2 linked regions of the Rattus norvegicus genome follow. The protein of the gene in region 1 interacts with the protein of each later gene in a pairwise test. Links are inferred from orthologs where the notes say so. Each region holds a gene or a part of one and is shown in the gene's direction. Other genes may lie near its edges.

Region 1 (3,647 bases):
AGTGTTCAGGGCAACTCTTTTTTGCACCTTATGTATCATAAGCACAGTGTTGTATAATTTCAGGCATTTCTAGTGACACCCATTTTTAAGGTTGGCCTAAGCAAAATACTTTAATAAATGATCCTTTAAATTAGCATCCTATTGTTGTCATTTTGCCTTATAACTTTGCATTAGCAAGAAGGAGATTTAATCAAGAGCCCTTTACTGTGTCTGGGATAGCTTTGCTGCCTGTTCTTTTGTTTGTTTGTGTTGTTTGTTTATTGTATTTATCTTATGTGATTTGCACTTTGCCGGTATCTGGGCAGTTATCTGCTGTGCCTGATGCTGAGGAAGTTAGGATCTCCTGACGGAGTTACAGAGGACTATGAGCCACCATGTAGGTGTTAAGAATGGAACCCAGGTCTTATGCTCTTGACTCCTGAGCCATCTCCCCATCCTGTCACCTAGCTTTAATTCCGTTATTCTCTGCAATCCTACCTTGTCCTTATATCAAAGATTAACTATGGATTTCTTGGTAAATAACAATATCTGTCTTAATTTTTAAGCTACTCTATAGCTATTATGAAAAGCATTAAAATATGTAGTAAAGAAAGAATATTTGATACTCAGCCTGCTTATATTGCAAGGATAAATTGCAGGCAGTTTCTCTTATTGTTTATGAATATTGCTGCATTTGTAAGTCTTAGACTACTGGAGTTCAGAGGGTGTCAGAGTGTGCCTAGATGTGAAATGGTCATGATTGCAACGTAGAAATCACTAATAAAACTTAAGGTTATTAGTGTTGGTATACTGATGACAGATGGTACATTTAAACGTATTCTTTTTTTAGTTATCCAAGCATTAGGGGAACATCTTAAATTAAGACAACAAGTTATTGCTACTGCTACAGTCTATTTCAAGAGATTCTATGCCAGGTATGGTTGTTTTATTTATTATTTTTAATGCCTGGTTGGAATTCTTTTCTAATTTCCATGTACAATATATAAAATAAGTAAATCACTTGTTTACTGTAGAATTATGATTCCCAAAGTCCACCCCCACCCCAGTGTGTTTTCTAAATAGTCATCATTTAACTCTTGTCTAATCATATTTTAGGTATTCTCTGAAAAGTATAGATCCTGTATTAATGGCTCCTACATGTGTGTTTCTGGCATCCAAAGTAGAGGTATAAAACAATTTTCTGTTCTTCATGAAAATATTGATATGTCTGGTTTATCATAGATAGATAGATAGATAGATAGATAGATAAATAGATAGATAAATAGATAGATAGATAGATATTGCTTTTGTATGGTTAATCATAGTTATCCTATGATAGTTTATAGGAACTAATATGCACATCTTGAAAATGTTTTTATTTTTTTAATAAATATTTTATGTATCAGATGATTTAATGAGCCCTTTGCAAGTTCTTTTTTTTTCTTTTTTTTTTCATCTTTATTAACTTGGGTATTTCTTATTTACATCTCTATTCCTTTGCAAGTTCTAATTCAATCCTGTAACTCTGGAGTATATGGCAGTAGTATCCATGTGGGGTCAAAGGACCAAAGACCCTGACCCTGGTTTGACCCTGAGATCAGGGCCAGGGAAAGAACACCTTGACTTGAGCCCAAGCAAGAAACCAAGGCCAAGAAAAAGAATCCTTCCAGTCCCTGAGTTTGCCCCAAGATCAGGCCCATGCTACCCTGGAAAACAATCCTGCCCCCCACCCTCAAATACAGCCTACCTTCTTAGGTTTCTGCTGCTTCTCCTCCTTACCCAAGCAGGGTTGCAAACACCTTCTCTTGTCATTCCCAATAAGTCTTTATGTGAACTTTGTTGTGCAGTGTGACTTTGTGGTATTCCTTGGCTCCTGACTGGGAAGATGCCTTTCCTTCAGAGATGCAACACTGGGGAAAGGAATCCCCTCAGAACTGTAGCATTTACAATTGTCATTTTAGAAATGAGGAAACTAGGGCATAGAGAGAGCAGTGTTCGTATACTGGGTCAGTGGTTCCAATAGTCTAGATCTTCATCCTGTAACTTAATTGCTTGCTGTCTTTAAAAGACTATTTATCTGAGTGTGGTGGTGCATGCCTTTAATCCCAGCACCTGGGAGGCAGAGGCAGGTGGATCTCTATGTATTCAAGGCCAGCTTGAACCACAGTGAATTCTAAGTTCCAAGATAGCCAGAGGTTTGTAGTAAGACCCAGTCTTAAAACAACCAAAAAAAAAAAAAAAAAAAAAAAAAAAAAAGAAAAGAAAAAAGAAAAAGAAAGAAAGAAAACAAAGGAGGTAGCACAGCTTATCTACTATGGCCTGAGAATGTCTCTGCTCCTCACCCACATGCTTTTTGTTTACACCTGACTTCTCTGGTAACAAGCCACTGTGGGAGAGCAAAAAGGTAGAAAAGACTTTATAGACTCCAGCAAGGAAGTGTGGATAGTGAGAGCAGAAAAGGTAAGTAAGAGAAGACAGAGAAGGACTTGGACTGGGAACTGCATTTCTGCTCAACTTACTGTTTGCAATATTATTGAGAAAGTGTAACTACCCCCTAAAGCCCAAATAGTAGCAGATTCTGAGAACTGGCTTTTTTCTTAGCTAATCCACACAATTCCTAGTCTATTGTTTCTGTTCTTAGGTAATGTCTTTAGGATAATTGTATCCATGTGAATTGAATGACTTTAACCAGTAAGTTTGTTTCTTTTGTGTTCATTTTATCTTAGAAACATTCATGACATCTTGATTATCTCTTAAGTATGCAGAATTGAATATATTAGAATACTAAAACCCTTTCTAGGAACCTAAGTTAACTCTGTCCATGAGAGAGATAAAGTTTGAATAAATCTAGTTATAAGTCAGTCTATAAACAAGTCAGTTATAGTGTTTACCTAGTTCCCATGAGGCCTGGTTTCAGTCCTGAGGACCAGATGTGTATCGAATGTCTTTTTGAATAAAGAGGTCTTGTAGATGAGGTGTATTTTTAGTTGTGGTTGTTGAGTTACTTTTTCTTAAAGTTTTTTTTTATACAATGTATTTTGACCATGTTTTCTCCCCTACCCTAGCTTCTCGCAGATCCTTTTCCCTACTCACCCAGCTTAGTGTTCATTTTCTGTGTCTCAAACAAAGCAAAAACTAAAACAAAAAACATAAGACAAATATCGAAACAAAGCCAGTAAGAAACAAAAAAGCCTTCAAAAAAAAAAAAAAATCAAGCAACCAAGGACAAAAGCCATGTAGTTAATTTTGTGTTGTCCAACTATTCCTGGGCCTGGGGACTGCTTTAGAGTGTGTTGATTTGACTAGGGTCACTCCATTGGACCTTTGCCAGTAGGTATCAATTCCAGGTAGCATTTTCATTTACCCTCTCAGTATGTTGCATTACATTTTAACTCTAACCAAATCTTTCTGTTTTGTCTAATTGATTAGAAATTGTGGGCAAAATCATGTTTAACATACTATCTTCAGTTTTGAGTTTTTAGTTTTAATTATTGGGTTTTGAAGGTTAAATATAAATATATGTGCGCACATAAAGTTATAGATTACGTTTTTGTTTTTTTTTTTTTTTTTTTTTGGTTCTTTTTTTCAGAGCTGGGGACCGAACCCAGGGCCTTGCGCTTCCTAGGCAAGCGCTCTACCACTGAGCTAAATCCCCAACCCCAGATTAC
Region 2 (4,296 bases), about 130 Mb from region 1:
CTCTTCTGGTGTGTCTGAAGACAGCTTACAGTGACTCATATACATAAAATAAATAAAAAATTTTTAAAAAAGTAACTTTCAAAAAAATATAAAATGAAAATAATATATTACATCTAGGATTTCTAGCATTACAGGTATGTGCCAACATGCCCAGACTTTTTTTTTTTTTCCCCAGAACAGGGGATTGAATCCAGAACCTCATTCCTAAGCAAGCACTCTACCATTAAGATAAATCCCCTGCACAGGGAGTTATTACTGTTTAACAGAAAATCTACCTATCTCTTCTTGGGGGGAAAGGGAAGGACCAGAGTACTACATAAGCACTATTACCAGGACACACTCCCAAGCCGCAAAGTCTCAAAAAGCAAAGTTATTCTGAATAAATTAAGGAAATATGGAGACTTGTTAACAAAACCAAGACAAACCCTTTAACCACACACTACAGATTTAGGCCAGAAAGATTTAACTCACTGGCACCACCTAGTACTGAACAGAAGTGATGCATTTCCTTTGAGACTGCTGAAAAGGGCCAGTTGTCATCTGGAGTGGTAAATATTTATTCACGCTCACCGGGCTTCTAGTATTCTGTACTGTGTACGGAGCTGATGGGTCTCAAATTGTACAAATCGCCAACTGTTGGAGCTCTGGGTGTCATCAATTTGAGGAAAGCGAAGCTGTTATAGAGTTTACAGGAGGCTCAAACTTCAAACCTCCTAGGGGTGGAGTTGGCTAGAACAAGGTAAACTGTTACCGTTTTATTTGCTATGTCTGAACTTGGCCTACTGAGTCCAGAAAACTTCCCTTTAAGCAGACTGTAATTAAAATACATTCTCCATTCCTAGGAAGGTGCAGGAGAGGCCACAGAATCCCTGGACTGTGCCTCCTGTAGCTTTTGCTGAGGTTTCCTCTGGGTGAGGCCAAAGCACACTGCACTCAGGGCACGGCTTGAGGAAAACTGTCACAGAAGCACGAACAGGCAAGGGCAGAAAGCACACCTTCTCGGGGACGGAAGGGAGCAGCGCTCGGCCCAGGACCACCGGAACAAAAATAAACTGCCACGCTCGGGCGCCAGTCTCCTCCTCGCGGACGAACTCCAAGCTCCGGTCTGCAGGTCCCGCCAAGGCCGGGCTCCAGCAGGCCCAGTGGTCACCTGAGGTGGCGGGGAGTCCTACGCCTGCGAAACGCTTCTCGGTCCTCCCTGATGAGAAACAGGACAACCTCCTTCTGCTATGGCGTCCCCGCCGGCCGCCGGCTAACAGATCCCAGAATTTGGAACCAGGAGCCCCGCCTACCTGACGCCCTGGCCGGGCGGACCACATGGAGCGAGCACTTCCGCTGGACTCGCGCACTTCCGGCTTCGTGGGACCAATGAGAGCGCCGCTTCGGTGTTCCCTGCGCTGGCGTCCGGGCCGAGGTTGTCTCCTGGAGGACTAGGGCCGTTTGGCCTTCACGGCCTGGTAAGCACCCAACCCAAGGACCTAGGAGACGCACCTTTGGGACCGTTAGCCCGACGCCCCGTATTTTGTCAAGCAAGGGAGAATGCACAATGGCTGGACCTATAGAGACCTTCGTAACGGTCCCCGGGGCCAGGTCTTCATAGTCAACTCTTGCCCTTTAGTTCTTGGAACCAAAAAGTTGGTAAAATTTCCAGTGACTTTGATGCAGGTCAGTTCACCCTTTGGAGTGGCATGGGGTTTTCCTGTCTAGAGGCTTCTGGAGAGCAGGCGCCCATGAACTTAAAGGGAAGTGAGAGGCAATGTGGGAAAGCCGGCATTGAGACAGACTTTACCTCTTAATCATTTCCAAATTTGGGAAAGAGCATGCGCACACAGCCTTTGAGAACTAGGAAAGTAGCTGCTGAGTGGACTGTACTGAGTTGCCAGGGAACTGAGTGGAGATAGGGCTATGCCAGCTCTTTGGAACCCAGATCGTGAGTCCCAAATATCGGATATTGAATTACACTGTTGGATTCTGGGTTTGCTTTGTTGGGATCATTCCTATTCTCTGGTTTTTCCCATTTGGGATTAGAAAGTCTGAAACTTATTTTGTATTTTACAGGAGCTCATGACTAAAAGACTTGGACTTTGAGACTCAGAACTTTTAAAAGTTGAAATTTTTAAAGACTGAGAATTTGAAAGTTGGCTTATGCTTGATATTACAATGTTAACAGGAGACTTTGGAGACAAGGGATTGAAAGGTTATAGCTTATCGAGATGCCTTTGTGAGGTTAAAGATGGGGTGGGGGTGGGGATGGGGCTAAGAGTTCATAGATTACTTTTAACTGCTAACTGTCATAGCCTAGAGTCATCTGAAAGGAAAACCTTGATTGAAGAATTGTCCAGATCTGTGGCCATGTCTGTGTAAGGCTGTCCTGTAAATTGTTAGAGGAGGGCCCAGCCCACTGGGCGACACTATTCCTGGCAGGTGGTCCTGGGCTGTATTAGTTTGCTGGGTACTGGGCATTGGCACTATAGAGGCAGAGGCAGGATGATATCTGTGAGTTCAGGGCCAGACTGGTCTACAGAGTGAGTTCAAGCCAGGAGGCAGCATTCCTCAGTACTGTCTGCTTCATGTTTCTCCTAGAGCTGGTGCCCCAATTCCGTCAGTGATGGATTGACCTGGAAGTAAAGGGCAAAAGAACTTTTCCTCCCCAATTGCTTTTGGTCAGAGTGTTGTGTCACAGCAGCCGAGGGAGGCTCAGACTCACTTAGGTCAACTTATGTGTTCTACAAAATAATTGGCTGTAGTAATACGGAAGACTGTTGTAACCCACAAAGAGATTCTCCTTATCCAAAAATCTCCACAATGCAAAGAATGGATACATTGATCTTGTTGAATGTAAGGTCTCAACCACTGTTTCCATGTGAAACTTCACTTGGCTGAGATAAGTGATTTCTTTTGACTATGCCCACTTCGGCAGCTTTCGTCCACTCAGATACTAACGTCCCTGGTTTCTAGGAACTGAGGCTTATAGAAAGTCAATATAACAATCTCGACAGTACTGTGTAAATCCTCACTCTTCCTTCAGATGAATTTGTTTGTAATGGAGAGCCTGTGGTAGCAGTTGACCAGCTCACTTCCTCGCTCGGTATGAAACTTTCTTCCATGATGGCTGGTTTTGGCCTGCTTCCTATGTGGCCAAGGTGTGCAGCTGACATTTCATGTAGAAATGGCAGCTAGGAGATCATCTTCTGAGATGCTTGACGGTATGTGGCGGGTGCTGCTGGGGCAGACTCAGTCAGCCCAGGCGTGTAAATGAGGCATGAGACCAGCAGGACCCACAGGCAAGCTTCAGACTGTTGGCTTAGCATCTGACCTTGGGCAGGTCACTTTGGACAGCCAGATGAGCCCCATGCCAGAGAAAAGCACTGCAGGACAGAGCACAGAATCTAATAAGGTAGAGCAGAACTCAGGCAAGAAGGATGCTTTTAAAAACTTATTCCTAAAAGCTTAGACAAACAAGGACCGCATATATAAATGTTTGTTGATGGTGTTTCCCTGCAGTACTCTCTTATTCCCCTTCCCCATGAAAACCTTTCTTCCGAAGATATCCTGTCCTACTTCCATGACTTTGTTTTCTTTGTGGCTCAGAGGCTTTAATTAATGTTGCCTGCATAAGTGGGGGGAGGGGGCAGGTGAGCAAGAGCACCTTTCCAGTGCCTAAAACCAACGTGAAATCTGACTCCCTCTCTAGCAACCATTAACTGCCTATATGGAACACCTGGGGGGGGTGGCCTTATGAGCCCCTCCTCTACACATGATGATGGAATGTTGAGTGGCCCAGTCCTGTGCAAGTCCTATGCAGCTAACTACTGCTGCTGTGGAAGATTTGTGACACAGGGTCTCTCTCTTACATAGTTCCTAGAACTCATTGGGCTAGCCTCTGACTCACAGGAAACCACCTGTCTCCATCTCTGCCTCCTGAGTGTTAGAGTCTCATGTTTCTCAGGTGGGCCGGGAACAGGTTGAACTCCTGATCCTCCTCCTGCTTCCTCCTCTGGAGTATCTGGGATTACCAGCCTGGGTGCCACCACCTGGGCATAGGCAGTGCTGGTGTCTGAGCGCAGGACTCTGCTGTGCTGGGCCAGCACTCCCCACGGGCTGCATCCCAGGAAACCTCTTTCTATCCCATCCAAAGCCTCCTTTCCCCTCTCTAACACTCTGTCTCTGAGAGTTCTGCAGTAAGAGGAGCTGGGGCTCCTTACATAAACCGAGGTCATGCCATGTCTTCGCTTGAGGGGTGTGCAAGCATCTGACCTGGGTGGGGGCTTGGGAAGTGTTTTTACTCACCCGTGG

Evidence for each region.
Region 2: the proteins of Ccnc (region 1) and Nmnat1 interact in binary tests that used the Homo sapiens proteins (3 or more experiments, as listed by UniProt). The two-hybrid records come from large-scale screens. The link is inferred for Rattus norvegicus from reciprocal best matches to the Homo sapiens genes CCNC and NMNAT1.

Annotation. Positions count from the first base shown.
Region 1 is NC_086023.1:40,066,539-40,070,185, forward strand, and holds part of Ccnc (cyclin-C), read left to right. Parts: intron 1-829; coding exon 830-914; intron 915-1,095; coding exon 1,096-1,165; intron 1,166-2,620; exon of another isoform or gene 2,621-2,670; intron 2,671-3,647. UniProt on the Homo sapiens protein: Component of the Mediator complex, a coactivator involved in regulated gene transcription of nearly all RNA polymerase II-dependent genes.
Region 2 is NC_086023.1:165,208,335-165,212,630, reverse strand, and holds the start of Nmnat1 (nicotinamide/nicotinic acid mononucleotide adenylyltransferase 1), read left to right. Parts: upstream 1-1,417; 5' UTR 1,418-1,457; exon of another isoform or gene 1,458-1,562; intron 1,563-1,757; exon of another isoform or gene 1,758-1,905; coding exon of another isoform or gene 1,906-1,930; intron 1,931-3,069; exon of another isoform or gene 3,070-3,169; coding exon of another isoform or gene 3,170-3,206; intron 3,207-4,296.